7 linked regions of the Oryctolagus cuniculus genome follow. The protein of the gene in region 1 purifies or fractionates together with the protein of each later gene. This does not show direct contact. Links are inferred from orthologs where the notes say so. Each region holds a gene or a part of one and is shown in the gene's direction. Other genes may lie near its edges. The genes, in order: PPP2R2B, MYO9A, MTCL1, IER2, IQGAP1, PABIR1 and PPP2R1B.

Evidence for each region.
Region 2: the proteins of PPP2R2B (region 1) and MYO9A purify together in Homo sapiens (affinity purification with mass spectrometry; 4 studies listed by BioGRID and IntAct, with this or other methods). This does not show direct contact. The link is inferred for Oryctolagus cuniculus from reciprocal best matches to the Homo sapiens genes PPP2R2B and MYO9A.
Region 3: the proteins of PPP2R2B (region 1) and MTCL1 purify together in Homo sapiens (affinity purification with mass spectrometry; 4 studies listed by BioGRID and IntAct, with this or other methods). This does not show direct contact. The link is inferred for Oryctolagus cuniculus from reciprocal best matches to the Homo sapiens genes PPP2R2B and MTCL1.
Region 4: the proteins of PPP2R2B (region 1) and IER2 purify together in Homo sapiens (affinity purification with mass spectrometry; 3 studies listed by BioGRID and IntAct, with this or other methods). This does not show direct contact. The link is inferred for Oryctolagus cuniculus from reciprocal best matches to the Homo sapiens genes PPP2R2B and IER2.
Region 5: the proteins of PPP2R2B (region 1) and IQGAP1 purify together in Homo sapiens (co-immunoprecipitation; 3 studies listed by BioGRID and IntAct, with this or other methods). This does not show direct contact. The link is inferred for Oryctolagus cuniculus from reciprocal best matches to the Homo sapiens genes PPP2R2B and IQGAP1.
Region 6: the proteins of PPP2R2B (region 1) and PABIR1 purify together in Homo sapiens (affinity purification with mass spectrometry; 4 studies listed by BioGRID and IntAct, with this or other methods). This does not show direct contact. The link is inferred for Oryctolagus cuniculus from reciprocal best matches to the Homo sapiens genes PPP2R2B and PABIR1.
Region 7: the proteins of PPP2R2B (region 1) and PPP2R1B purify together in Homo sapiens (affinity purification with mass spectrometry; 4 studies listed by BioGRID and IntAct, with this or other methods). This does not show direct contact. The link is inferred for Oryctolagus cuniculus from reciprocal best matches to the Homo sapiens genes PPP2R2B and PPP2R1B.

What each region holds. Positions count from the first base shown.
Region 1 is NC_091437.1:34,207,591-34,211,277, reverse strand, and holds part of PPP2R2B (serine/threonine-protein phosphatase 2A 55 kDa regulatory subunit B beta isoform), read left to right. Parts: intron 1-124; coding exon 125-222; intron 223-3,459; coding exon 3,460-3,625; intron 3,626-3,687. UniProt on the Homo sapiens protein: The B regulatory subunit might modulate substrate selectivity and catalytic activity, and might also direct the localization of the catalytic enzyme to a particular subcellular compartment.
Region 2 is NC_091443.1:111,163,139-111,166,825, forward strand, and holds part of MYO9A (unconventional myosin-IXa), read left to right. Parts: intron 1-118; coding exon 119-438; intron 439-1,732; coding exon 1,733-3,340; intron 3,341-3,687. UniProt on the Homo sapiens protein: Myosins are actin-based motor molecules with ATPase activity. Unconventional myosins serve in intracellular movements. Regulates Rho by stimulating it's GTPase activity in neurons.
Region 3 is NC_091441.1:65,956,627-65,960,313, forward strand, and holds part of MTCL1 (microtubule cross-linking factor 1), read left to right. Parts: intron 1-836; coding exon 837-2,412; intron 2,413-3,687. UniProt on the Homo sapiens protein: Microtubule-associated factor involved in the late phase of epithelial polarization and microtubule dynamics regulation.
Region 4 is NC_091447.1:62,549,154-62,553,395, forward strand, and holds IER2 (immediate early response gene 2 protein), read left to right. Parts: upstream 1-1,432; 5' UTR 1,433-2,295; coding exon 2,296-3,006; 3' UTR 3,007-3,998; downstream 3,999-4,242. Other genes in the region: STX10 (syntaxin-10), read right to left, coding at 58-312. UniProt on the Homo sapiens protein: DNA-binding protein that seems to act as a transcription factor. Involved in the regulation of neuronal differentiation, acts upon JNK-signaling pathway activation and plays a role in neurite outgrowth in hippocampal cells.
Region 5 is NC_091443.1:100,738,881-100,742,567, reverse strand, and holds part of IQGAP1 (ras GTPase-activating-like protein IQGAP1), read left to right. Parts: coding exon 1-162; intron 163-753; coding exon 754-837; intron 838-928; coding exon 929-1,000; intron 1,001-1,084; coding exon 1,085-1,154; intron 1,155-1,627; coding exon 1,628-1,836; intron 1,837-3,687. UniProt on the Homo sapiens protein: Plays a crucial role in regulating the dynamics and assembly of the actin cytoskeleton.
Region 6 is NC_091432.1:161,632,733-161,637,165, reverse strand, and holds PABIR1 (PPP2R1A-PPP2R2A-interacting phosphatase regulator 1), read left to right. Parts: upstream 1-1,566; 5' UTR 1,567-1,588; coding exon 1,589-2,578; 3' UTR 2,579-4,159; downstream 4,160-4,433. UniProt on the Homo sapiens protein: Acts as an inhibitor of serine/threonine-protein phosphatase 2A (PP2A) activity. Inhibits PP2A activity by blocking the substrate binding site on PPP2R2A and the active site of PPP2CA.
Region 7 is NC_091432.1:103,700,715-103,704,401, reverse strand, and holds part of PPP2R1B (serine/threonine-protein phosphatase 2A 65 kDa regulatory subunit A beta isoform), read left to right. Parts: intron 1-2,183; coding exon 2,184-2,338; intron 2,339-3,025; coding exon 3,026-3,168; intron 3,169-3,528; coding exon 3,529-3,620; intron 3,621-3,687. UniProt on the Homo sapiens protein: The PR65 subunit of protein phosphatase 2A serves as a scaffolding molecule to coordinate the assembly of the catalytic subunit and a variable regulatory B subunit.

The sequences.
Region 1 (3,687 bases):
TTGTAAATTCCACTGCAGCGACAGAGCCCTAAGCCCTTAAATGCGCGGAAAAAGAATGTCTATTATCTATCCTTTCAAAGTAAGTGTGCAGTTACTTACGTTGCCTTTGTCTTCTTCTTTTCAGCTGACATTATCTCTACGGTAGAATTCAACCACACGGGAGAATTACTAGCGACAGGGGACAAGGGGGGTCGGGTTGTAATATTTCAACGAGAGCAGGAGGTAAGTGGCAGTGAATGCAAAATGCCTGTTTGCTTCTCTTTTTCAAGGAAGCCTCCTACTGTTCTCTAATCCTCATGTGTCGCCCTTAACCTTGCTGCTTTGCTCACAAACTAAAAACTGCCAAAAAATCATTAATATCAACAGTTGCACATACAGACTCACAGAGGCCCCTTCAAAGACAGCCTGCTATGGGCATGGCCTTCCAAGGCTCGAGGCCTGGATATCAGACCCCCGTGATGACTCCACCGCTTGTCTGATCTGCAAACTTCCATGGGTGCTTGTTGAGCATCGTGACGCCTCCTTTTGGGGTGACAGTCTCCTTGAGCATGCGACAGTCAGTCTCCCTCGATTTTGGGTGGCTGCCAGAATAAGTTGAAGGTAAAAAGGAGTTGTATTTGCCAACGGATGGGAACAGGACAAGTGCGGTCAGCAGAGAAGAAAATGGAGTGCAGTTCCCATAAAGGGAATGCAATGTCCTGAAGTGACATCTGAACATGGCACATGGCTGGCACCGCCCCTGGCATAGGTGACACGAAGGTGCCCCGAGCTGAGCTCTATGGGCACCTCTGTTTGGGAGCAGAAGCGCTGACTTCCAGCGAGTTTCCAGAAGCCCATTTGTTTCCAAGACTTGGAATCCACTAGGAATTATTTCTCTTTTTCATATAAATTGAGATTGTGGGGTGTGTGTGTGTGTGTGTATGTGTGCATGCTTCTGCTTTGTCAGAATGAAATTATGGCCCAATTTGATTTCCTTGGCCTCCCCTGGCATGGTGGTGGAGCTTCCAGCAGGCGAGTCTGTGTCCCTAGTCCTCTCCCATCTGCCACTGCCTGCCTCTGAGATTCACCCAGCCCCCGGGAAGCGCGAGGAAGGCTTCACAGGAGACTGCCTTGGCAATTTAATGCCTGCTTTGTGCCTCAAAGCCATTTGCATTACACCTCCCCTCAAAAAAGGGAAGCCTCATTTAGAGGTGATATATTTGGTAATTGCACATTATTTGCAATTAATTTCTATAAGGGCATCATAATCCCTTGGGGTTCTGTATAAATTCAAGTGTTGAGCATTAAATCAGGCACCCAGCCTATTGCATCGGCCCTGGAAATGCGAAAATGTGGTTGGCAAGCAGCAACTCCTAGCTCTTCGTGACCTGGAATTTTTCCTGCTCTTCCAGAGCTGCCTTGTGCTAATTGGTCTGGCACATGCTACACACACTTGACAGTCTGATTTGGAAGGTAGCAGATCAACACTCGTATAAATTTATTGTTAAGGTGGACTGGCTCTCTCTGCAAGTAAGCAAGTGTGTCAGCAGTTAAAGTCCTCTGAAAATGAATTTCAGAACTTCTCTACATTTTTTTTAAAAAGCTCCAGTTGGATTCACTGTGATAAGAGGGTAGAACTGGAGGAGCTACTTAGCATGACCTACCTATGGCCACATGTGACCTGGTCTGCAGTTTCCGGTAGCTCTTCTTAGGGGTCTCCTATTTTAATCTCCTGAAATATTTAGGAAGCCTGATTCATTAGTGGAATGACAAGGGACATGTTTTCCAAAGCAGGGTGGTTTAGCTCAAGAAAAAATAAATGCCATTGAGGAAAAAGAATTTGCAGTTAAGTGTATGCTATTGTGTCAAGCTAGGGATTAAAATGAGAGCTAAACATGAGAAACCAAGCCAGGTGACGTCATATGGGGCAGACTTGGTTCTGGTTCTAGGATGCCTAGTCATGGAGAGCTTGTTTGTAGGAACCTCAGTGCCCACTCGGAAGTGTTTCACGCCGAGGGCAGCACCCTCCCCCATGAGTCAGTTAAGATGTGGGCTTGGATGTCCTCTATCCACCCGGCAATACAAAATTTTAAATGGAGCAGGTTTACTCCGAGTCAAGCTTCTGTGGCTGTTGTTTACTGAGAGCCAGGTTTGAACTGTTGTCCAGGTTTCTAACGCCTGAGTCTTGACTCTCTGGGCAGGACGGTCCTCCAGGGACTGAAACACCTCCCCCCCTCCCCTTCTTGTCTTTCTCTCTCTCTCTCCTCTCCCGTCCTCTTTCCCTTGTTCCTTTCTTGCCCTTGTGTTTCGTTTTCTCATCATTTATTTAGTTCCTGCTGTTTGCTCTTTAATCGTTGCTAGGGGAAAGCCAGAGGAAAAGTCTCATCGGCTGCATCGTGATACAGCTGGCATCTCTGAGTGCCAGTTTTGTCCCTTGTGTTAGGGAGGAAGAGAGAGAGAGTCGGATGCCCAGACTGGATCCTTGTGAGCTCTGTGACCTTAAAGAAACAGCTTACTATTTCTGACCCTCTTTTGTCCATGTCCCCGCCCTGCCTGCTTTTCAGATTCTGTGAGATTTTAAAAAGCCAGTGAAAATTGCTGAAGCTGCAATTTTGTACTGTTTGTAAGAGATTGCTACCAGTATACAAAGGGTCTTCAAAAAATTCATGGAAAAGGTGTACTGTGGGGGAAAAAATGCTTCTCCAAACTTTCTGCACCAGGATAAACTTCTCCTTTCATTCCATGTTCCCAATTACTTCTTGAAGGCCCCTTGCACAGGGACACCAGTGTGAGGTGGCTTACCTCATATCCAAGGCATACTTCAGAGTACAAAATATAAATATTGAAGCTGCTACTTAAACTGATTTTAAAATCTTGTCCTATTTTAACTTCTGTATCTGTGCTTGTGTTATGATATACACCATATATAAGTGCTGAAGTTCATGCATATAGGTTACAAATAAATATATGCATATTGAAGGTCTAAATATTTGCTAATGGGGAGCATGATCAAAAACTTTGGAAGAATGAGTGTTTAGACTAGCAGCTGAAGCATGCACATGCCATATTGGAGTTCCTGTGTGTGATTCCCGGCTCTAATGCGAGCCCTGGGAGCCAGCAGCGATAGCTCCAAGTTTTTGGGCTCCTGCCCTCCCACAGGGGAGACCTCAACTGAGTTCCCAGCTTCAGCCAGAGCCCAGCCTAGGTTGTAGGACACTGAGGTTATAAAGCAACTGATAGGAATGAGTGCGCACACGCTCGTGCGCGCTCTCTCTCTCTCTTAACATAAATAAAAATTTTTAAATAGCTTGAGAAGCCATTGAAGTAAGATAAAACATGGGGCTGTCCTCATCCTGGTTCTCATCACAGTGACTCTGCCCAAAAATGAAGAAAGAAAGAAAAAAGGGAATCGGTGATTTTGAAGTTGACTTCCATAATTTAATCTTCTATATATATATATTTTTTTTTCCCTTCCTGCAGAGTAAAAACCAGGTTCACCGCAGGGGTGAATACAATGTTTACAGCACATTCCAGAGCCATGAACCCGAGTTCGATTACCTGAAGAGTTTAGAAATAGAAGAAAAAATCAATAAAATAAGATGGCTCCCCCAACAGAATGCAGCTTACTTTCTTCTGTCTACTAATGGTACGTGAACTTATCCTGTTTGATGTTTGGGGAGATACCAGTCAGCCAAGCTATATATATTT
Region 2 (3,687 bases), on another chromosome or scaffold:
GCTACTTAGCCATATAACCTCTAATCATGGCATAAAAAATGTAATCCTTTTTCCTTTTCCTGTGAAAGTGTAGGATAAGGAATGATGGCCAGTTTCTGTTCTTGTGTCTTGCCCACAGCGTTTCTGGAGGAGTTGCCTCACTCAGAAGCAGGCGCGGGGTGAAGCTTTGCTGGAAGATGCTGCGGCTTTGGCCAGTGCGGCTGCTCGTCTGCAGGCTTCCTGGCGTGCGCATTCGGAGCGGCAGCGCTACTTAGAGCTGCGAGCTGCAGCCGTGGTCATCCAGCAGTGGTGGAGGGAGCACCGGAGACGCAGACACAGGGCCGCTGTGTGCATACAGGCGAGGTGGAGAGGTTACAGGCAAAGCAAGCAGTACCAAGAGCAGAGGAGCAAAATTATCCTCCTGCAGTCAACATGTAGAGGATTCAGAGCAAGGCAGAGGTAACCTCATCTGTGCCTTAAGATTTTTTTTTTTTTTTTTTGACAGGCAGAGTGGACAGTGAGAGAGAGAGAGAGACAGAGAGAAAGGTCTTCCTTTACCGTTGGTTCACTCTCCAATGGCTGCTGCGGCCGGCGCGCTGCACTGATCTGAAGCTGGGAGCCAGGTGCTTCTCCCGGTCTCCCATTCGGGTGCAGGGCCCAAGCACCTGGGCCATCCTCCACTGCACTCCCGGGCCACAGCAGAGAGCTGGCCTGGAAGAGGGGCAACCGGAACAGAATCCGGTGTCCCGACTGGAACTAGAACCCAGTGTGCAGGCACTGCGAGGTGCAGGATTAGCCTATTGAGCCGCGGCGCTGGCCAAGATTTGTTTTACAATTGATTATGTATAATGTGTTTCCTTTGCTATACTACGATATTCCTATCAGTTTTTAACCTGCTGTATCTTGTCTACAATAGAAGTTAAGTGTTGTGTTAAATTGGATTGAAGACCTACATGGTCTATGGTTATAATTGCTAAGTGTTAACAATTCTTACTATATTTGTGTTAGGCTTAATCTTTTTTTTAAGTTTTTTTATAATATCCACTATTTATATCTTCAAAAACTTTAAATTCATATTTAACGCTTACTTTAAAGATATTATTAAAATGAGAATTTTACTTTGGAGTTTATGTTTTGACTAGAATGCCCAGTTAGGAATAAGACACTTAATGAAAGTATCATCTGATTAATGGAAATAAGAGAATTTAAAATGTGTGATCAAGTTTGTTTAAGAAATACTTGGATGTTGTGAGTAGAAGATTTTGTACCTTTCCATGTTCCCTGAGTTCTCAGTACGCACATCCTTTCCGGTATCAACCAAGAGTCATTTCTGAGGCCGGCGCCGCGGCTCACTAGGCTAATCCTCCGCCTTGCAGCGCCAGCACACCGGGTTCTAGTCCCGGTCGGGGCACCGGATTCTGTCCCGGTTGCCCCTCTTCCAGGCCAGCTCTCTGCTGTGGCCAGGGAGTGCAGTGGAGGATGGCCCAGGTGCTTGGGCCCTGCACCCCATGGGAGACCAGGAAAAGCACCTGGCTCCTGGCTCCTGCCATCGGATCAGCGCGGTGCGCAGGCCGCATCGCGCTGGCCGCGGCGGCCATTGGAGGGTGAACCAACGGCAAAAGGAAGACCTTTCTCTCTGTCTCTCTCTCTCACTGTCCACTCTGCCTGTCAAAAAAAAAAAATAAATAAATAAATAAAAAAAAGAAGGTTATAAAAAAAAGAGTCATTTCTGACCCATTCTGTTTTTCTACAGATTCAAAGCGTTAAAAGAGCAGAAACTTAAAGAAGCAAAGCTAGAACTTGGATTGGTGAGCACAAGGGCATATGGAGCTCTGGAAATTCAGGGCTCAGACCCTTCCAGCTGGGAGGATTGCTCCTTTGACAGCAGAGTGAAAGCCGTAGAGGAATGTAAGTCTGTGGTAGAGAGGAATCGCCCCCGCCGTGAAGGCTCAGTGGACTGCTCCAGGGAGTCCCCAAACATGCGGCAGGAGAGAGCCAGAAGCCAGAGTGGTGTGGACTTGCAGGGAGACGTGGTGGTAAGAGAACGGCCCAAGTCCTTGGAGGACCTGCATCAGAAGAAAGCAGGCCGGGCCAAAAGAGAGAGTCGGAGAATGAGAGAACTAGAGCAAGCTATATTTAGCCTGGAATTGCTGAAAGTCCGTTCTCTGGGAGGTGTGTCTCCTTCCGAGGAGCGCAGGTGGTCTACGGAGTTGGTGCCTGAAGGCCTGCCCTCTCTGCAGGGCACACCTGATAGTGAAAGCTCTCAAGGAAGCTTGGAGCTTCTGAGCTGTGAGGAAACCCAGAAAGGCAAACCAGAGTCTGTGATTGTAGATGGAGGAGATCTGCAGATTCCAGCACCTGCAGTATCTAGCAGTCCAAAAGCTGACACACAGGACTACACCCGCAGCACCTCCAGTGAGCTGAGCCGTGTGTCTCTTCACAAGGGAGTGCCTGTAGACTCAGCGCCCTCGCAGGGTGACTCTGGGGAGGAGAAGCCGGTCTGCCGCTCTGAACCTGTTACCTGCAAGCCACAGCCGAGAGACCTGTTTATTTCCAGTAGTCTGCCTACTTTTTTTTATATTCCCCATCAAGACCCACTAAAAACAAGTTCCCAAGTAGACACAAGCACCCAAAGAAACAAAGTGTTAAAAAGTGAAGACACGCAGGGGACAGTTCTTCCTTTCGACGTCAGCAGGGAAGCTGAAAAGCATCGCTTCTCAGGAGAAGAGCACATTACTCCTTTTGTGAAGACAGAATCTGCCAGTACTGTGCTTAAGAAGTTAGAAAAGCTGAACTCGGAGAAGGAAGAAAGGCAAAAGCAGTTGCAGCAGCAGAATGAGAAAGAGATGATGGAGCAGATCCGCCAACAGACAAATATCCTAGAGAAGGAGCGTAAAGCCTTCCAGACCTTGGAGAAGCCAAGAACTGGAGAGTCCTTCCTGGCCCCGTCTTTCTGTCTTTCCAAGCAAAGAACGGAGAGGCCGTCCTCCCTACTCATCCCAAATGTCCCAAATAAGGGAGAACCTGGTGCAGGAGGATCCCCATCAGTAACTGTAAAAGATACAGCTCTTGCCCCAAAAGACAGTTGCTCTGCTCACCTAGCCTCGAAGGACAGACCTATGACTCTGTTCTTTGAAAGAAAAGGAGCCCAGTGCCAATCTGGTGGTGTCACGGAATCATCTCAGACAGACAGAATGGGCACCCAACAAAGTATAGCCTGTAAACCCTCCAATAATCGCGTTTCAAAAAGAGAGCACCTTAGGCCGACTCCGTCTTCTGGCCACACGTCTGATGACCCTTCCAGAGAGGGAACCACCAGGGCCATTTTCTTTACACCGAAGGACAGTGTGAATATGCCCCTGTGAGTGGAGTGTGTGTTTACTTTCGTGTGTGGATGGAAACAGCAGAGTTTATTAAGATGCCTGACTCTGCTGCACTTTCTGCGTGTATGCCCCTCAACTTGGGCATTTCTCCTCATTGTTTCTACCCACCACTGGAAATCGGCTACAATTTTACCATAAGAATCGTTGACAAGGCCTAGATGCTAGAGTGTTTGATTCCTTCCCATGCTATTGAACAAGCATTTATGAAGGGCCGTGAGTGCCTTTGAGTAGGGGAGGCCTTCAGCAAGCGCTGGTTGTCTCAGAGCTCTGAGGTGGCACGTCTAGCTTGCTTGCGTCACTGCTGGTGGCTCTTTATTGTTTTCTT
Region 3 (3,687 bases), on another chromosome or scaffold:
GACCGCAGCTACATCACTGGGTCTCTCTCTCCCGGGGGGCCATGAGCATGTGGTGGGCAGGGCCTGGGGGTACTCTGCAGCATGAGCACCTGCCGTGACACCTTGCAGGAGGGTTGGCACTGGAGGTGCCCACCGGCGAGGGCCATGCCAAGCCACAGCTGGGAGTTGAGCTGCATTGACTGCTGGATGGCCCCACCCTCCCGCTTGTTTGCAGTATTTGAGGGTTGGCACTATTTGGTTTTTTTTTTTTTTTTTTTTTTTTTTTTTTTTTTTTTTTTTTGACAGGCAGAGTGGATAGTGAGAGAGAGAGAGACAGAGAGAAAGGTCTTCCTTTTTGCCGTTGGTTCACCCTCCAATGGCCGCAGTGGCCGGCGTGCTGTGACCGGCACATTGCGCTGATCCGAAGCCAGGAGCCAGGTGCTTCCCCTGGTCTCCCATGCGGGTGCAGGGCCCAAAGATTTGGGCCACCCTCCACTGCACTCCTGGGCCACAGCAGAGATCTGGACTGGAAGAGGGGCAACCAGGACAGAATCCAGTGCCCCGACCGGGACTAGAACCCGGTGTGCCGGCGCCACAAGGCAGAGGATTAGCCTATTGAGCCGTGGCACCGGCCACTATTTGGTTCTGATCAGAGCAAGGCTCCAGCAACAGTCCCACAGCCACAGACGTCCAATAAACACCCACAGGGCCAGCTCGTAAGCAGGGAGTCTGAAGCAGCTGCAGAGTGTTCCAGTGGCTTAGGGGAGGCTCCGTCCCCACTACCCGGGCAAGGCAGGGCAGGGCACAGGGCTGCGGCGTTCAGGGCGCGTGATGACCTCCTCTCTCTGCCTCTCCAGGGCGGTGTCTGTGTCCTCCATGTCGGAGTTCCAGCGCCTGATGGACGTGTCCCCCTTCCTGCCTGAGAAGGGCCTGCCGTCTGCCAGCAGCAAGGAAGACGTCACCCCGCCCCTGTCCCCTGACGACCTGAAGTACATCGAGGAGTTCAACACCAAGAGCTGGGACTACACGTCCCCCAGGTCCCCCAGCGGGGCTGGGGCCGAGAGGCCTGCGGACCTCTGGGCAGACAGGACCGAGGTGGGGCGGGCAGGGTGCGAAGCCAGCGCGGAGCCCTTCTCGGACTCCTCCTGGTACCTGACCACGAGCGTCACCATGACCACGGACACCATGACCAGCCCAGAGCACTGCCAGAAGCAGCCGCTGCGCAGCCACGTCCTCACCGAGCAGTCCGGTGTGCGTGTGCTGCACAGCCCGCCCGCCGTCCGCAGGATGGATGGCATCGTGCAGGGGGGCAGCGAGGGCAGGGGCCGGCTGGACCCCGAGGGGCCCTTTCCCACCAGCAGGGCCAGAGCGAGCCTGGGCGACGCCAAGGGGGGACCCCTGGAACCCATGCTTGGAAGGTGGCCTTGTGCCCCCTGCAAACACCCCCGAGACTACATGGAGGGGACCCTGCGCCCCCTCGAGAGCCCCCTGTGTACCCCCCTGGGCTTTGCCTCCCCCTTGCACAGCCTAGAGATGTCCAAGAACATGAGTGATGACATGAAGGAGGTGGCTTTCTCCGTCAGGAGCGCCATCTGCTCCAGCCCGCCCGAGCCACAAGTTAAGGACATGGCCTGCCAGACCAACGGGTCCCGGACCACGGGCACGCAGACCGTGCAGACCATCAGCGTGGGCCTGCAGACGGAAGCCCTCCGGGGCAGTGGTGGCGTCACCAGCAGCCCCCACAAGTGTCTCACACCAAAGGCGGGGGGCGGCACCACACCCGTGTCGTCTCCTTCCCGCAGCCTTAGGAGCAGGCAGGTGGCCCCCGCCATCGAGAAGGTGCAGGCCAAGTTTGAACGCACGTGCTGCTCCCCCAAGTACGGGTCTCCCAAGCTGCAGCGGAAGCCCCTCCCCAAAGTGGACCAGCCAAATAGCAGGACCTCACCGGGTGTGGCCCAGAAGGGGTACAGCGAGTCGGCCTGGGCACGCTCCACCACTACGAGGGAGAGCCCCGTGCACACCACCATCAACGACGGCCTCTCCAGCCTCTTCAACATCATCGACCACAGCCCTGTGGTGCAGGACCCCTTCCAGAAGGGGGCGCGGGCTGGGAGTCGGTCCCGCTCGGCAGAACCCCGCCCCGAGCTGGGCCCAGGCCAGGAGACGGGCACCAGTTCCCGGGGAAGGTCGCCCAGCCCCATTGGTGTAGGCGCTGAGACGTCCAGGGAGGAAGGGGGAGAGGGCACGCCGGTGAGGCAGGACCTAGCCGCTCCCCCTGGCTACACGCTCGCCGAGAACGTGGCCCGGATTCTCAACAGGAAGCTGATGGAGCACGCCTTAAGGGAGGAGGCGAGGCAGGCCACCCACGGTCCCCCGAGTCTCAGTGACAACCACACGGCAGATGCGGCCACAGCCGAGCCAGGGCCCATGGAGGTAATGGCACCCTCTCCCTCCAGCTCTTCCATTTAGGGGTGGGTGAGAGGGCACCTGGCCAGGCCGTTGGTTGCAGGAAGAAGCGTTTTTGTCTCTAAGTGGCTGTGGTGAGCGGGGGCTGAGTTGGGTTTTGGGGAAGATAGCATAGGCAGAAAGGGTTCTGGCCTCTGGGCTCGGTGATGGATCTGTATCTGCACCCCCAGGGTCTGCGTTCTGGGTCATGATTTGCCCTTTCTGTGTGTGGATGCATGTCACGGCACGTCCAAGTGTGCTACATGGGAGGGGGCCAGGGGGGTGAGGACCACGGGGACACGTGCTTGTCACGTGCTCGTCAGGGACTGCAAACACAAGGTCGATGTCCCAGCTGGCCTCCGTGCAAAGCAGCAGTCTGGACTCTCAGGAGCGGCTTCCCCTCTCTGTGTGTGTGAATCCCCCGGGGCAGCAAACCCAAGTGAAACAAATGTGTAAACCCTGAACCTTGCCTCTGTACAGGAGGAGGTGGCACTGCCGCCCTGACATTGCTCACCCATCAGTCAGCCTGGAGTTCTGTTCTAGGACACATCCCCCGGGGTGTACTTTGCACCTTGCCGCTTGAGCCAGCAGCTCCCATTTCCAGGCCTAGAATGAGCAAATGAAATAAGCCCTGTGATCCTGCTGGTGCTGATGGCCATGGGGAGGCCGGCTTCTCACTTCGTGCAGCCCTGAGCAGGTGTGAACGCCTCGCCCAGTGAGCATTCTGCAGGCTGGTCCTCTCCCCAGGGTCGGGGAAGAGGAGGGGAGCAGATTCTTTTCTGGGCTGCCACCACCTGGGCTGCCCTGGCCCCAGGGCAAGGAGAGGAAGAGGGTGTGTGCCCCACATCACAGGGCCTGCATTTCCCAGGGGGAGAAATGCCAGCACAGTTAGAGGGCCAGACTGACCCACCGAGGAGTGCTTACCTAAGAATACAGAGGTGAAATCCGAAATGGCGAGCTGAGTGCAGGTGCCGGTGACCTACAGAAATGGTGATTCCCCGTGATTCAGCCCAACACACATGCTGGCAGCACGTGGCCCGAAGAGCCCAGTGTTTGTGAACAGGTTGTTTCCAGGCTCTGGGATGGGCAGACACTGCTGGCTGAGTGTTCCCAGCTGACAAGTGGTGTCACCCCCGTCCCTCAGGGCCCCTCAGGTAAGTCCTCTCTGCTGGGGAGATGGTGTGTATTGGACCCTAGATTGGTCGGAATGAGGGCTTTGTCCCAAAGCATGAGCTGGCTGTGCCTGCAGTGTCCGAGTCACAG
Region 4 (4,242 bases), on another chromosome or scaffold:
CCCCGACGGCCGGCGCGCGCACCGATCGCCCTCCCCGGCCCCGTCGCTGTCACTCACCCTCGCACTACAAAGAATGGATCTTCGAGAGACATGGCCGCCCCCCTCCCCCAGGAGGCCGCAGCCCCTCCGGGCTGGGGCTCGCGAGCCACTTGGTTGCCTCGCAGCCCAGGAGGAAGCGCCGCCACCCCCGCCCCCGGTTCGCCACCATCGAGAGCGGGACCTCCAGAGGAGAGAGAGGTCCGAAAGGAGGAAACTTCCGTTCCCGCTGCCGCCATCTTGGGTGTGGGCAAAGGCCACACTTCCGGTCCGCATGTCCCGCCTTCTCAGTCACAGTGCCGGGCCGTTGAATGGGCGGGAGGGGTTCGCAGTCTAAGTGAATTGTTTGCTTTTGAGGCAGTGTAAATAATAATAGTCGGATTCCAGCTGAGAAAGGGTGGGGGGTCAGTGGGTTCCATCCCCGGAGCCCGCCCCGGGGCGTCCGTCCCAGCCCAGGGTCCCCAGCAGCAGGTGTGGGAAGGGCTGCGGGCATTTTAGCGGCGCTCTTCCTGCAGGGCGTGGGTGGGTGGGGGGAGAACCCCCGAGGTCGTATTGGGGCGGAGCGACCGCGGGAGGAGACCCCTGGGGGGCGGGTGTGGTGTCACCTGGGCGCGCGAGCCTGAGGGGGACCCCTGAGGAGGCACCCCGGTGAAGGTCCCCGGGAAATCGGAGGTGGGGGGCCGGGTCTCCCCTCTCGGGAGGGTGTGCGGGATGCCTCCGGGGGTCGCCCGTGGTGTGGGGCAGAGTCGCCGCTGTGTGCGGCCTGCAGACGGGACTTCTGGACTGTAGGGCAGGGGCGGGATCGGTTAAGGATGAGGTGATTTGGGGGGTCCTTTCAGGGTCGCCGCCGTCGGGGGGTTCCGTAGTGGGAGCCCGCGCGGGCGGGGTGCTTGCCCGGAGGGGCGTCGCTCCTTCCTGGCCCCCACGAGGGAAGGAAACGCCGCCTTCCTCTTCCCCCGCCCCACACGCCCGGCCCCGACGGACTCCGAGTCCGGAAGCCCCAGGCTCCAGCCGGCCGCGCGGGGGCGGGGCGGCAGCCGCGGAGGGGGCGTGTCCGGGCCGAGGCCCCGCCCCCAGAAGCCCCAGGCTCCAGCCGGCCGCGGCAGTCCGCGCGCACGGGGGTGGGGCGGGGGCGGAGGAGGGGGCGTGCCCAGAGCCGAGGCTCCGCCCCCGGAAGCCCGCTCCCGCCCGCCGTGGTGCTCCCAGCCCCATGTCCTTATATGGGCAGCCGGAAGTGGCTGGCGCGTTCGCCCTACGTCACTTCTTCCAAATTTAGCTGTGGAAGTCAGCGGGGCCCCAGTGGCGGGAAGGCTGCGTAAGCCGGGGGAGGGGGGTGGAGGGCGCCTCTTAAAGGGCCCGCACCACGAGTGAATGCAACCATTTGAACAATGTTCTTTTTTTTTTCTATTTTTTTTTTAAGCTACGGGAATTGAGTCTTCTCGTGGCGGAGGGTGGGGCCGATGTTTTCTCCGCGTGGCTCAGTTTCCAGCTCCGCCCCCCCGGGGCGCAGAGGCAGAGCAGGGCCCCCTCTCCTCCGCCGCCGACGGGGGGCGGCAGCCACGTGTTCGTCGCCGGGGCCCGTGCCCCGTTTGCGGCCGGGGCCCAGCCCACCTGGGGGGTGTCGCATCGCAGCGGTGAGCCTGTGGGCGATGGCTGGGCTGCGTTCCGGAGTCTGCGGACGACCACCCACACCCGCCCCCTCCGCCCGGTGGGCGTTCGAGCTCCGGAGCCCAGCAGCGCCATCCCGCGCAAGAAGAGAGCTTAGCACCCAACACGCAGCCAGCGCCCCTAAGCTCAGACGGCTGGGCGACGGGAGGGAATGACCGGCTCGGCCCCGAGCCTCCCGGGCTAAGGGGCCCTGGGTGCAGACGGCGCGAGCACGTGGGCGGGCCCGGAGCCCCACCCGCGCCGCCCCTCCCCAGGGCCCGCACTCGGAGAGCTCAGCGTCCCCTCGGGGCGGGGGGGACTCCACCGTAGGCCGGGGTTCCCCTCCTGTCCCCCTTTTTCCATCACCGCGAGTAAATTGCACCCTGTCGCTTTAAGGAGGCTCCGGCCACGGGGCCGCGGAAAGCCCGGATGCGGCCTTCTTACTGGGCGGGGCGTCCCTGTGACGTCACCCGGGGTATAAAAGGGCTCGGGTGGCGGGCGCCGGGGCAGAGCGTCCTAGCGGTGTCCCGGCGCGGAGAAGCGTGAGCGAGCGCGTCGTACCCCCCCGCCCCGAGTGCACCTGCCGCCCGTCCCGTCCGCCGTCGAACCGCGATGGAGGTGCAGAAGGAAGCCCAGCGCATCATGACCCTGTCGGTGTGGAAGTTGTACCACTCCCGCATGCAGCGCGGCGGCCTGCGGCTGCACCGGAGCCTACAGCTGTCGCTGGTCATGCGCAGCGCCCGGGAGCTCTACCTCTCGGCCAAGGTGGAGGCGCACGAGCCGGACGCGCCCCTGCCGCCCGCCCGCCCCGCCGACCCTCGCCTGCACCCGCCGCGGGAAGCGGAAGAAGCCACGACCGAGGCAGCGCCCCCCGACGGTGAGCAGCCCTCGCCCGAGCCCATGGACACGCAGGAGGCGCCGGGAGCCGAGGAGGAGGCGGCGGCCCCTGCCCGCTGCGCCCTGCGCCCAGCCAAGGCGAGCCGCAAGCGACGGAGCAGCTGCAGCCTGAGCGACGGCGGGGACCCGGGACTGATCCCTAGCAAGAGGGCCCGCCTGGAGGAAGAGGAAGAGAGCATGGAGGCGGACCCGGACGAGGAGGCGGCGGCGGCGGCGAGGGTCGCCGATCGCCTGCAGCCCGCCCCGGCGCAGAGCGAGGGCGCCTTCCCCAACCTGGCCCAGGTCCTCCAAAGGCGCTTCTCCGGCCTCCTGCACTGCAGCCCCGCCAGCCCCCCGACGGCGCCGGCGCCGCGCGAGGCCAAGCCGGCCTGCCGCCCGCAGGACAGTGTGCTCAACGTGCTGGTGCGCGCCGTGGTGGCCTTCTGAGCACCCGGGCGGCGGGCGCTTGCCGGAGCCCAGAACGCGCGCGCGCGCGAACTGAACCGTCGTCGGCCCGAGGGCGCGGACGCGGGGACGAGCCTCTCCCCACCACTCAACACACGGAGGCGCGCGCACGCCCTGCATCGAGGGGGCGGCGCGGAGAGGAGCGGCGCGGCTCGCCGGGAGATGCCGAGCATCCCGGAGGGGGGACCCTGGCCATGCGCGCCCCCCTCTCCAAACCCGGAGGAGCCGTGGGCGCAGGCGCCTTCCGCGGACCACAGGTGCTGTCTAAATGGACCGAGACGCGGGCCTTAACCCTCTCCCAGACCGGGAGCCAGGGGGAGTGGGCTTGGACCGTTCATTTCCTCAGGGTCGGACTTAATTTTGTTGTTTTTTGTTTTTTCCCACCGAGGGCTCAACGCCGGCCTGCCGTGGTTTTTTTTTTTTTTCAAGAGCCGCCGTGTGCCGTGGCAAAGTCCCAGGAGACTCCTCCCCCCCTCCAGGGACATACTTGTGCAGGCGGTCAGCGTTGCGTCACGGGGCCGCTTCCTGTTGGCGTGCGTGGGTGCGGGGCCTGGGAGGGAGGGTCCGGGGTGTGGACCCGCCCCGCCGTGGGTGGAGGGCAGCCTGATCACCTCGCCCACGCCGCCCGCTGCTGGTTCAGTGTCCCACGCCCGGCGCGCCCCTCCCCCCCGGGGGTGGTGGTGGCTGGGAAGAGAGGTGGTTTCTCTGGTCTTGTGCAGGTGGCGGTGCCCCCCATACCCACCCCCAATACGTGCCCACGGCAGGCTGAAGCTGGGGGACCGGTTGGCGGCCATGGCTGGCCCGATTTGGGGGTGGGGGTCGGGGATGGGGAGGGGAGGGCTCCTGTGGTGGCCCCGGGAGTTTTTCCTTGGGAGGGGATGGGTGGGTTGTGGTTTCAAAGCCAATCTCACCTAGCCGGTTTTGTTAGGGACCGTCAGAAAAATAAAGAAGACAAAAAAGACTTAAGTATAAAAGTTTGGCCTGTCTGGTTTCCTGCCGCGGCGGGGGAGGGGCGGGGTTAAGGGGTCACGCGCTGGCTGCGGCCGGCTGGGGCGGGGTGGGGGGACCCCAGGAGCCGGTTTGACCGGTGGTTACAGCGTGGGCGGGAGAGGGAGCAGGCTGGTCCTGCGCCCCCTGAATCCGCTCTCCCAGTGGGGGGCGTAAGCACGATTTGGGGGACCTTGCCTCCTCCCGCGGCTGACCTCGGGCGTCCGCCAG
Region 5 (3,687 bases), on another chromosome or scaffold:
TCCGGGGTGACTGCTGCATACAATCGAGAACAGCTGTGGCTGGCCAACGAGGGCCTGATCACCAAGCTGCAGGCCTGCTGCCGCGGGTACCTGGTGCGACAAGAATTCCAGTCCAGGATGAACTTCCTGAAGAAACAAATCCCTGCCATCACCTGCATTCAGGTATCTCAGAGCCCGTCACACAGGCAGCAGGGGGGCTTCTAGAGCAGGCTGAATAAACTGGCGTCTCTCACCTTGGAGTGTCCGAGTGTGGTTTTTTCTTCTTTTTGACTTCTGACCTCATTGTCTGGTCTTCTGACGAGTACCTGCTGCTTTACTAACGCTGCCATCAGACTGTGCTTTCTGGAGCTTGGTCCTCGGGCTCCTCTTCCTGTCTTCCACGACTGTGCCCTTGTGTAAGATTTGAACCCTCAGAGACAGCGAGAGGTTTGTTAGTGCACTGTCATGGCACGAATGCTGAGTTGGGGATTAGGGCTGCGGTGCCCCCAGAGTGGGGACTCTGTTTCCTCTCTGTGCAACAGGGATCTGCTCTTGGCTTGCCTGGAATGGTGCATGGTGGTGCTGAGGACAGGGGAGTGAGAGTCAGCCCTTGTGTTCCAGTAGAGGGACAGCCCCTGCCCTTGTTCCCCCGGCCCTGCTGGGCATGGTCCTGGGTAAAGCTCCATCGTGAATTTGCGCTGGGCTAACACGAGAGCCTGGATGAGGTTTTGTTCTGACTTTGGCTGATCTTTGGGAAATGTCTGACGGTTGCAGTCACAGTGGAGGGGATACAAGCAGAAGAAGGCGTACCAGGACCGGCTGGCCTACCTGCGCTCCCACAGAGATGAAGTTGTGAAGGTACGGCCACCGAGCAGGCTTCCCGGTGTGGGGAGCAAGGGTGACGTGCAGCGTGCAGGGCCCTGCTGACTCCTAGGTTCTCTTTCTGCAGATCCAGTCCCTGGCAAGGATGCACCAAGCCAGAAAGCGCTATAGAGATCGCCTCCAGTATTTCCGAGACCATGTACGTACCCACCTGGGGCTGTCAGTTTGGCTGTATTTCTGATGGGCAGATGAGCAAAGGAATTTCTCTGTTTTTGTCCTGTAGATCGATGACATCATCAAAATCCAGGCTTTCATCCGGGCAAACAAAGCTCGTGACGACTACAAGACTCTCAGTGAGTAACTGGCTCAGCAGCGAGGAGCTGAGGTGTGGTTGAACACCACCAGGTTGTGGGTATTCTCGGTGGATCTCTTGTTGTCCTGAAGGCAAGGCCTAGGTAGGGTGCTGCTTGTGAGTGAAGCCCCTTTGCTGACGCCTGGCTGATGTCTGGTTGCTAGCTGTGTTGACAGCATGACCAAGAAGGCCGTCCTTGATGGCTGTCTTAGCACATCTCAGAAGAGAACAGAACCTTGGGTGTGAAGAGAGCTACTTTTTTCAAGACAGTTCTGATATGAGGATCTTGAGAAAGTTCATGGAAATGTGTAGTACGAAAAAAACTCATAGATTTCAAAACTTTTTTCACCAAAATAAATTCATCTCTGCATCTCATTTTCCATGAACTTTTTGAAGTGCCCTCGTGTTTCCTGAGACTTAGAAGTTTTTCTGGCAACTCTGTTCTTTGTCTGATGCGTGTTTTCTTTCTGTCAGTCAACGCCGAGGACCCTCCCATGATCGTGGTCCGGAAGTTCGTGCACTTGCTGGACCAGAGCGACCAGGATTTCCAGGAGGAGCTCGACCTCATGAAGCTGCGAGAGGAGGTGATCACCCTCATTCGCTCCAACCAGCAGCTGGAGAACGACCTCAACCTCATGGACATCAAAATCGGGCTGCTGGTGAAGAACAAAATCACGCTGCAGGTACGGCCCGGCGCGGGGGCCCGGAGCTGCCACAGGGAGGCTGAGGCTCACTTGCTTCTCAGCTCATGCCATAAATTATTTTTTTTATTTATAGAAGAAATAAAACAATTTTATAAAATTTTAGGCAGAGAAAAGAAGATGAGAATTCTCCCCTAACTCCAGCATCTGACAAGCATCTTGTGTGTGTGTATTTTTTTTTAAGATTCATTTATTTATTTGAAAGGCAGAGTTACACAGAGAGAGGAGAGGCAGAGAGAGAGAGATCTTCCATCCACTGGTTCATTCCCCAATTGGCCTCAACGGCCAGAGGTGGGCCGATCCGAAGTCAGGAGCCAGGAGCCTCCTCCTGGTCTCCCAAGGACTTGGGCCCTCTTCCACTGCTTTCCCAGGCCATAGCAGGGAGCTGGATTAGAAGTGGAGCAGCCAGGACCCGAACCACCACTCATACATCTGTTGGCGCTTCAGTCCAGGGTGTTAACCTGCCGCACCACAGTCTTGGCCCCTGAAAGGCAGAGTTATAGAGGCAGAGGCCAAGGCAGAGAGAGAGAGAGAGAGAGAGAGAGAGAGAGGTCTTCCATCCACTGGTTCACTCCCTACACGGCTACCAAGGCCAGAGCTGGGTCGATTTGAACCCAGGAGCCAGGAGCCTCCTCCAGGTCTCCCACAGGAGGGCAGGGGCCCAAGGACTTGGGCCATCTTCCACTGCTTTCCCAGGCCATAGCAGAGAGCTGGATTGGAAGTGGAGCAGCCAGGACTCGAACCACCGCCCATACAGGATGCCGGCCCTGCAGGGAGTGGCTTTACCTCTTACGCCACAGCGCCAGCCCCAGTAAACTGTTTTTACTTCATATTATAGGATGCAACTCTTATATATAGTCATAAATCTAATAATTTTTTATTTAAATTTTTTTTATTTGATAGAGCCAGGGAGAGTACTCTCATTTGCTGATTCACTCCCCCAAAAGCCCACAACAACCAGGGCCGAAGCCAGGAGCCAAGAACTCAATCTGGGTGTTCCATATGGTGGTAGAAACCCAGTCACCACCACTGCCTCCCAGGGTTTGTGTTGGGAAGCTGGAGTCAGGAGTCAGAGCCAAACATCAGACCCAGGCAACCCAGTGTGGAATGTGGGTGTCTTAACCACGCCCCATAAATGTTATTTTAAATTTTTAAATTTATTTTAGAGTTCTTGCCTGGGGCTGAAGTCCATCCAGGGCTCATGTGATAGGATAAACCCAATGACTTTAGCCATCACCACTGCCTACCAAGATCTCCATTACCAGGGCACGGAATCCATGCACTCTGCTGTGGGATGCGTGGGGCCCAGTGAGTGTCTCAACCACTAGGCTGAATGCTTGCCCCCAAATAATGTTTTTAATGGCAGCATAATAATCTGTTAGATTGTCACTTTTCCTTCCTGCAATTTGACTTTTAGATTGTTTTCTGAGTTTTTATTGGAAATAAAATCGCGGTTGATAGCTCCATGTATTTACTGTAGTTAAGACTTGGTTTTAAGACAGAGACCTAGGCCGGCGCCGCGGCTCACTAGGCTAATCCTCCGCCTAGCGGCGCCGGCACACTGGGTTCTAGTCCCGGTCCAGGCGCCGGATTCTGTCCCGGTTGCCCCTCTTCCAGGCCAGCTCTCTGCTGTGGCCAGGGAGTGCAGTGGAGGATGGCCCAGGTGCTTGGGCCCTGCACCCACATGGGAGACCAGGAAAAGCACCTGGCTCCTGGCTCCTGCCATCGGATCAGCGCGGTGCGCCGGCCGCGGTGGCCATTGGAGAATGAACCAACGGCAAAGGAAGACCTTTCTGTCTCTCTCTCTCACTGTCCACTCTGCCTGTCAAAAAA
Region 6 (4,433 bases), on another chromosome or scaffold:
ATAGACTTGGATGGATTCTAGTAGTGGTTCCCTTTACTCAACAACTTGGTGCTTATCCTCTCTGGATCTTGCTTCAACAACAAAAAGGGACTGGACAAAAAATGACTTAACTGTCTTTAAGTTCACGTATCCATGTGGCTATCTAATAGCCACCTCCAAATCAAATACAACAATCAACACAGAATTAGTAATTTCTATACCTCTAAATATGTTGCTTCTCTGATTCAGAAAGTAACACTATCTACCTAATTTAAGTAAAAAAAAATGAAGTCAGTTCTTGACATACTTCTTTCACCATCTAAATTTAATCTCTCCGCAAATCTTACTGCTACTGCTTCCAAAACCTCCTGAATCCATCTTCTCTCCATGGCCACTGCTTATTAGTCCAATAATCTCTTGTCTGTGCCTTTGCCATTGGTTCCTAACCCACCTTTCTGCCTCCACTCTTGCCTTCTTTCAATGCTGTTACAAATACCAACCTGACAGTATGACTTCCCTATGTACAATTCCCTAGCGGACTTTCATCAGACTGAGAAGGAAACCCAGACTCGTTTACACTCCCCTTCACCCCCCTCCCTTATGCTTCAGTGGCACTGCCCTTTTTTCTTTTCCTGCTAACCGATCACGGCTGCCATGGGCCTCAGCTCTTGCTGTTCTCTCTGCTTGGACTACTCACGCACAGACGTCTGCACCACTTCTCCTCCTCGTCCCTTACATCTCAGCTTTCATTGCCCCTTGCCTCCCAGCAGCTGGGCTTTAACACGTGATCCCGTTTTTGTTTTTTCCTAAGGCTTACCTCTATCTGCAAACAGCTATTTATTTACCCACCCCCCCACCCTTGACCCCCGTGGAAATGAAATGTTCTCTGAAAAGGCCCATTTCTTGCACAGTGCTTGGCATGTAGTAGCTACCCAGGAAGAAACTTTGAATGACTGACTGAATACATTTAATTGAGACATAAATGTTTTATATTAACTGCAAATTACCATCCTCTCTGGTCTTTCTCCGGATGGTTCTAATCTCCCACTAATCTTTTCTCCAGACTGCAGCCAGCGAGCTTGTCAGTTGTTGTTAACCCCACGTTTGAAAACCTTTGGAGATGTTACTGTTCTCAAGAGACACACCGTAGCCTGTCCAGCTCCCAGTCAGTCTTCACTGCGGGCCACACGCCCCCTCCCTTCCCCTCCTGGTTCCTGCCTGGCAGCTGGCTGCGTAGCCCCTGCTGCCCGCTTCCTAGAAGGTTCTACACCATACCACTTAGCGTTCTACTTCGCGTTTCGGGAGATGGCCTCTTCCTGGGGAAAGCCCTCCCTGATTCGGTCAAGCCCCACTGCCCGCCATAAAACCCCACATCACTAAGGCCCTTTGAGAGCTTATGTTCGTTTCATTAAGTAGGCATTCCTGAACGTAAACCTATCAATATGCGCTAATAGGAGCTCGCGCCCAATTAGCTCTTCGCGGAAGGAACGTACACTCCAGCGCCCAACCATTCGCCGCCCCTCCCCCCGGCGCCTGTGGCGCAGCGATTACGCACTTAGCAGGCGCCGCGGAGACAGATAGCGCAGAGCGCCTGCGCGAAGGGGCACGCATGCGCACACGGGAGGGCCCGCTGACAGATTCTGGGTGGCAGCGGCGGCGGCGGCGGCCCTGGACTGCGGGGAATGGGAGTCCTAGGTCCCTGACTGAGCACCGCCCCCGCCTCCCTGCCCCCGACATGGCTCAGGAGAAGATGGAGCTGGACCTAGAGCTGCCTCCGGGTACGGGCGGGAGCCCGGCGGAGGGCGGCGGCAGTGGCGGCGGCGGGGGCCTTAGGAGGTCTAACAGCGCCCCCCTGATCCACGGCCTCAGTGACACTTCGCCGGTGTTCCAGGCCGAGGCGCCGAGCGCCAGGCGGAACAGCACGACGTTCCCGAGCCGCCACGGCCTGCTGCTGCCGGCCTCCCCCGTCCGCATGCACAGCAGCCGCTTGCACCAAATCAAACAGGAGGAGGGCATGGACTTGATCAACCGAGAGACGGTCCACGAGCGCGAGGTGCAGACCGCAATGCAGATCAGCCACTCCTGGGAGGAAAGTTTCAGCCTGAGTGACAACGACGTGGAGAAATCCGCCTCCCCGAAGCGCATCGATTTCATTCCGGTGTCCCCAGCACCGTCACCCACCCGGGGGATTGGGAAGCAGTGTTTCTCACCATCCTTGCAAAGTTTTGTGAGTAGCAACGGATTGCCCCCGAGCCCTATCCCCAGCCCAACGACCCGATTTACTACTCGGAGAAGCCAGAGTCCCATCAACTGCATTAGACCAAGTGTTCTTGGACCATTGAAAAGAAAATGTGAAATGGAAACTGAGTATCAGCCAAAGAGATTTTTCCAGGGCATCACCAACATGCTTTCTTCCGACGTTGCACAGCTGTCAGATCCCGGGGTGTGTGTGTCTTCGGATACCCTTGACGGAAACAGCAGCAGTGCGGGATCTTCCTGCAACTCACCAGCGAAAGCCAGCACTGCCGCCGACTCTCCCGTGTCACCTGCCCAGGCAGCCTCGCCGTTCATCCCTGTAGATGAGCTTGCATCTAAGTGATCCGCTCGTCCTGAGACTTTGTGGGCTTTTTTTTGCAATGGAGAGAGAGGAGAGAGAGAAATCAAGTTGGAGCAAGCACTGAACTCTGTCGATTAATTTGAGGCTATTTCCTATTTGACCCTTTTCCTCTTTTGGGATTTCCTGAAATGTTGTTATTCTAGAGACCTCTCATGTCAGGTTCCTGCGGATGCCCTTGAATTCAGTGTAGTAATATTTTTGGACTTTTTCCCCTAAGTGTGTTGAAGCATACATCTTTACGCTGCTAATATGTCTAAATACATATGTTATCCCTTGATTTTTTTAAATAATTGAGAGCTCTATTTATTTATGGGATTATTAAGTTCTGATGAAAATATAAATGTTGAACTAATCAGCATAGTAAACTGATGTTTTAAAAATTCCATAATTCATGCACACACTAATTTTAATGTTATTTTTCAGTGATTGCTAATTTCCATTTGATAAAGAACGATAACTTACCTATTTACAGCTTTTAAAAAAATGTTAGTTTTAAAATGAATGCAGTGGTTGTCTCTTTTACCCAGGAATCCTTAGTGGGTTTTCCTGGATACAGAAATGGATGGGAGGAGGACTGATAAAAGAACACCTCAGAAAAGTTTGCAACAAGTCTTAAAATTATATCCAAGTAAAACATTGAAGAAAAATGTTTTCTAGTGACATTTTAATAGTAATTCTGGTAGGTTGTGCAAATATAGCTAGTATTCAGAATTTTTTTTTTTAACCAGAAAGTACATTCTCTTGGGTGTAATCCTAAAGTAAAATGGGACGGTGCCTTGCAGTTGTATCCTGCTGTAGAATAGGCTGAGGCTGAGTTCTTTTTCAAATGTAGAAAACGTGTGGAAAGTCTGGTTGAAATTCAGAGCCTCCAGGCAGACAGCCCTCCGTCAATTCGTTGATGTGCTTTGAAATACCCATTGTGCCTCCGGTTGAAAACTCTTGCCAGTGAGTAGGCGGAGCAGGTTTTTTGCTGCTTGTGTACCCTGTGTAGCTGTCCCATCCCTGGTTTCCCCTTGGTTGGGAAGAGTGGCTGTTTCCTTGTCAACAGGTCCTTCCTCCCAGCCTTCCACCAAACTGGGGCACCATGGGATAGGCAAAGGTACGGTGTGAATCAGGTTTCTGACAGCAACAAACGGAACTGTGAATTGTTGAACTCAGTGGTTAAAGCTGGGGCTGGAGTCAACTGTCTTGGAGATGTCAGTTAACCAAGAGTCGATGATTTGTGAGAGAAGATCAGTGGAGTGTCACAGATAAATCATTGTTTAACTTAGGTTTTGTTAAAGATAGAATTATGGAATGATGGGTGTTTTTTGTTTCATTTTGGTTTTACCTTTTACAATGAAAATACGAATCACAATTTTTTTATATTGTACTTCCTTTAATACCTCATATATTAACTAGATAGATAGATAAAGATACACAGACAAAAAGAGTGCAGCAGGAGATTCCGTAGATCAAGGCGAAAGCCCCAACTTAACGTTTTAAAGTTACTGCCTCCGAAGACTTTAACAACTATGTGGAATTTTTACTACTGTGAGAATAAATGGAACTGGTCAACTCTTGGCAGTTGCTTCAAGGTTCAGTGAATTATATTAAGGGTAAGATTGTGTCTACAGTTTAAAATTCTGTTGTGGGTAACAGTGTCCATGCTCCTCAAATTCAAGCCTGTATCAGTATATCCAGTGTCCTATTGGGTGCCTTGACCTGCTTCCAGATGGACTTTAACTTCAGCATCTTCAAAACAAAACTTTTTTTTTTTTTGTCATCTTCTCACTTACCTATTTCTGCCTTACCTAAAGTGATGCTGTAGCTATCTAATTTCAGATCATCCAAACTA
Region 7 (3,687 bases), on another chromosome or scaffold:
ATTGAGGAATTTAAAATTCTAATATTTCACACAAATTAAATTATTGACATCCTTCCTCTGTAAGGTTGCTCTCTCTCTCTCTGCAACTGAATTATTACTTCTTTCCTGATTTTTGTTTTCCTTCCAGTTTGGGAGCACAGGAAGAGCCTTGTTTATTTTACTGCATCAGTAGCCTGTGGTGGGTTTTGCAAGCATTCTTTGAACAGTGAAATGGCAGCTCTGAAATGATTCTGTGCTTCATTACAGGAGTTTTCTGTCACTTGCTTTTGCATTTTAGAAAGTGTTGTTTAGTGGGTACTGATTGGTGATATGTTTTAAAACTCTTTGTTGCTTAATAAACTAACAGTAGTGTAAAAAATCCAGAGAATTATAAGGAAGAAAGGAGTGGTTGAGTAGACAGTGTTGAGCAGAGGGAGGAATTTAGACTGGGAATTTTTTTTTTTTAATGGGAGAAAGAACCAAGTATTAGAGTTAGCAATCAACCAAATCTTGAGAGAAGAGAGAGAGAGTAAAAGAGAGGAAGAGAAGACTAAACCAGGAGAGAAAACAGACAGAACTGGCATGGTTCGCATTCTTCTCACAGCAGAATTGAGAACAGCCTAGAACACAGTAGGCATCTGGCCAAGTAGAATCGAGTGCAGTTAAGGTCTTGGTCAAGGCTGAGCTGTGTCGTATGTGCTTGGTCTCTGGTTGCTCCACAGTGGGATCCCTTCTAAGGTACTGGCATGATGATGAGAAGAATCGCAAGCATATTAAAAACAGTAATTAGAGGAGAAGACATGGATGCTTTAGCCAGCTGCACCTTAGGGGAAGGAGGGGAAGAGGTTTGGGCCAGAGACAAAGACTGGGTGTGAAGGGAAAGAATGTATTATGAGTAAAGCAGCTGGCTTCAGCTTGCTCCTTAGAGGGTACTTTGGGCGTTGGTGATAGGTTGTGTCTCCACAGACCTCGGTCAGTTTAATTATTGGTAATAAATGTATAGTTTCTTCTGTGTGCTGTTTTGCTGTTCTCCTCGTCATTAACCAGAAGGATCTACAGCAGCCTGAGGACACTTGGGCACTCCCTGTCTGGAGGCCTGGGTAAGTTGCCTAGGGCAGAGCTGTGGCATGAATAACCATTCCTGTCCTTCCTTTCACCCAGGAGAGTTGAGCTCAGCTGGTGACAGAGTAGAATTAAGGAATCATTATCTGCCACTCTCAATTTGTTACGTAAGCCCAAATTTTAAGTCGCACTGAACTTGTAAAATGAAGTGACACTGCACCTGTCTTTGGAGCTGTATGCAGAAACTGGGTGAGGAGAGTAGCTTAGACGTTTGTCAGCTAATGTATAATGTTCTTGGTAAATGGTCTTGTAGGGAACTGTTAGATGTTAAGACAGGCACATTTACTCACACAAGGCGTTTGACGTTTTATCCCAACCTAAGTGTTTTTCATGGAAAACAAATGAGTGGGTCTGAGTTTTCATTTGCTGTGTATAGGCAACTTCAGAGGCCCCTGTATAGTCTCCTTCACCTTGACACTGTTGAAACGATCTTGATAAAATATCACATTGGTCATCTGGCCACTTATCAGGTCTTTGTTTTAGCTTTCAAAATGCTCTGTGGTCTGGGCACACTCTTAACTTTGCAGTCTCAAGAATTTTAGTTTTGCCTTTGTGCCTTTGTGCTTCTGTTTTGCCTTTTCCAGGAATTCTTCCTCACTTCTGTGTTTAAACAAATCCTCCCTGATCTTCAGAGTCTAGTTCAAAGTCTCTCCTGTGGCCGTCCCAGAGCTCTTTGTCTTTTAGCCCCCACGGCATTTACTACACAGTGTCAGACTTCATTACGGTTCGTCTTGCACCATGGCACTTCTTGAAGTGTGCTGTCTTTCATTTCTCTGATAAGAACATGTGGTCTTTCTATTTTTTTAGTACCACTTGGAACATCACAAGGACTTAATGAATTGATAATGCATGTAATGAGCTTCTTGTATCCCTTTTCCTTGAACATACTGTAAATTTTGAAGCAGTGACAGTAGATCAGTATTTTGTGAGTTGCAGCCGAGTATGCTTGTTGTGGTATGATTACATTTGGGGTCTGGTTGCAGAGAGCTTTTGTTTTGGGCCCACAGTTACTGATGTTGTAAGTAAACTCCATTCTGCTTTTCAAGTCAGCAGTGAGAATGTGTCCTTGATCTCTTCTGCAGTGTATGCCATCCGGGAAGCTGCCACCAACAACCTCATGAAACTAGTTCAGAAATTTGGCACAGAGTGGGCCCAAAATACCATCGTTCCCAAAGTATTAGTAATGGCAAATGATCCTAATTACTTGCATAGAATGACAACACTATTCTGCATTAATGTAAGTATTACCTAACTATTATTGCTGAGCTCACGTTAAAGTACTACTTCTCAACTATACTGCTGAATTCAGACATACCATCTTCTATTTGGAATACACTTCTTGTAGTCATTAATGTGGATGGTTAGAAGATGAGAAAATGTTGATTTTAAAATTCATATTAAATTTTATGGTATTTTGGAAGTTGCAGTTTAGTTGTAAATTCTAGTCTGATTCTTTGAATGCTCCCTTGTATTCCTCATTCATATGCTCAAGCTGGAAACGTATTCCTGTTGATGAGCTACTTTCTTACGAAATATGAATTTGTCTCTGTAGATCTTGGGAATTTAAAAAAAAATATGTTTTGAGACGGGCATTTGATACAGCAGTTGACACCACTTAGGATGTTCATATCCCATATCAGAGTGCTTGGGTTCAAGTTCTTGATCTGCTTCTGAGTCCAGCTTCCTGCTGTAGGCAGCAGTGATGGCTCAAGTACTTGGGTGTCTGCTCCCACATGGGAGACCTAGATTGAGTTCCAGATTCCTGGCTTTAGCCTGGCCCAGTCCCACTATTGTGGGCGTTTGGGGAGTTGAATCAGTAGATGGAAGATCCTTCTCTGTCTCTGCCTCTTTGCCTTGCAAATAAAGTGAAAATATAAGTAAATAAATAAAAGTTTTAAGTGTCCTCTCTTATTTATTTTTCTAGGCACTGTCTGAAGCCTGTGGTCAGGAAATAACTACTAAGCAAATGCTGCCCATTGTATTAAAAATGGCAGGAGACCAAGTAGCAAATGTCCGATTCAATGTGGCCAAATCTCTACAAAAAATTGGACCAATTCTAGATACTGCGTAAGATTTTCGTGTTGTTACTGTTTTGAAAGTATGTTTTAACTTTTCTCTTGTAGAAGGGAGTGATTGCTATAATTAAGTTCCATGAGTTTTGGGTTACAAGGTGTTGATTGGTTTAAAGAAAATAGTAGGCAACCATTTTTGAAGACGTTTACTTTGACATATTTAAGCTTTGTACATATGTAGACTAGTGTCTGAAGCTGATTTTTTTGAGAACCTCTTAGAAATTTAGTACATTTGTTAAGTTTTGTGTTTTAAATTTTTTATTTTAAATTTTAAAAATTTTCATGGAGTTTATACATCAAAAAGGATTTCTCTGGCCCACTGGACTGCCTCTCACAGGTACCTTTTGAATTTCAGTGCTTTGCAGGGGGAAGTTAAGCCAGTACTACAAAAGTTAGGTCAAGATGAAGACATGGATGTCAAGTACTTTGCACAGGAAGCTATAAGTGGTATGTATTTCAGTTTTTTGCTTTTCAGCTTATGCCTTTAGTTAATGGGGATTCGTCTATTGTGTGA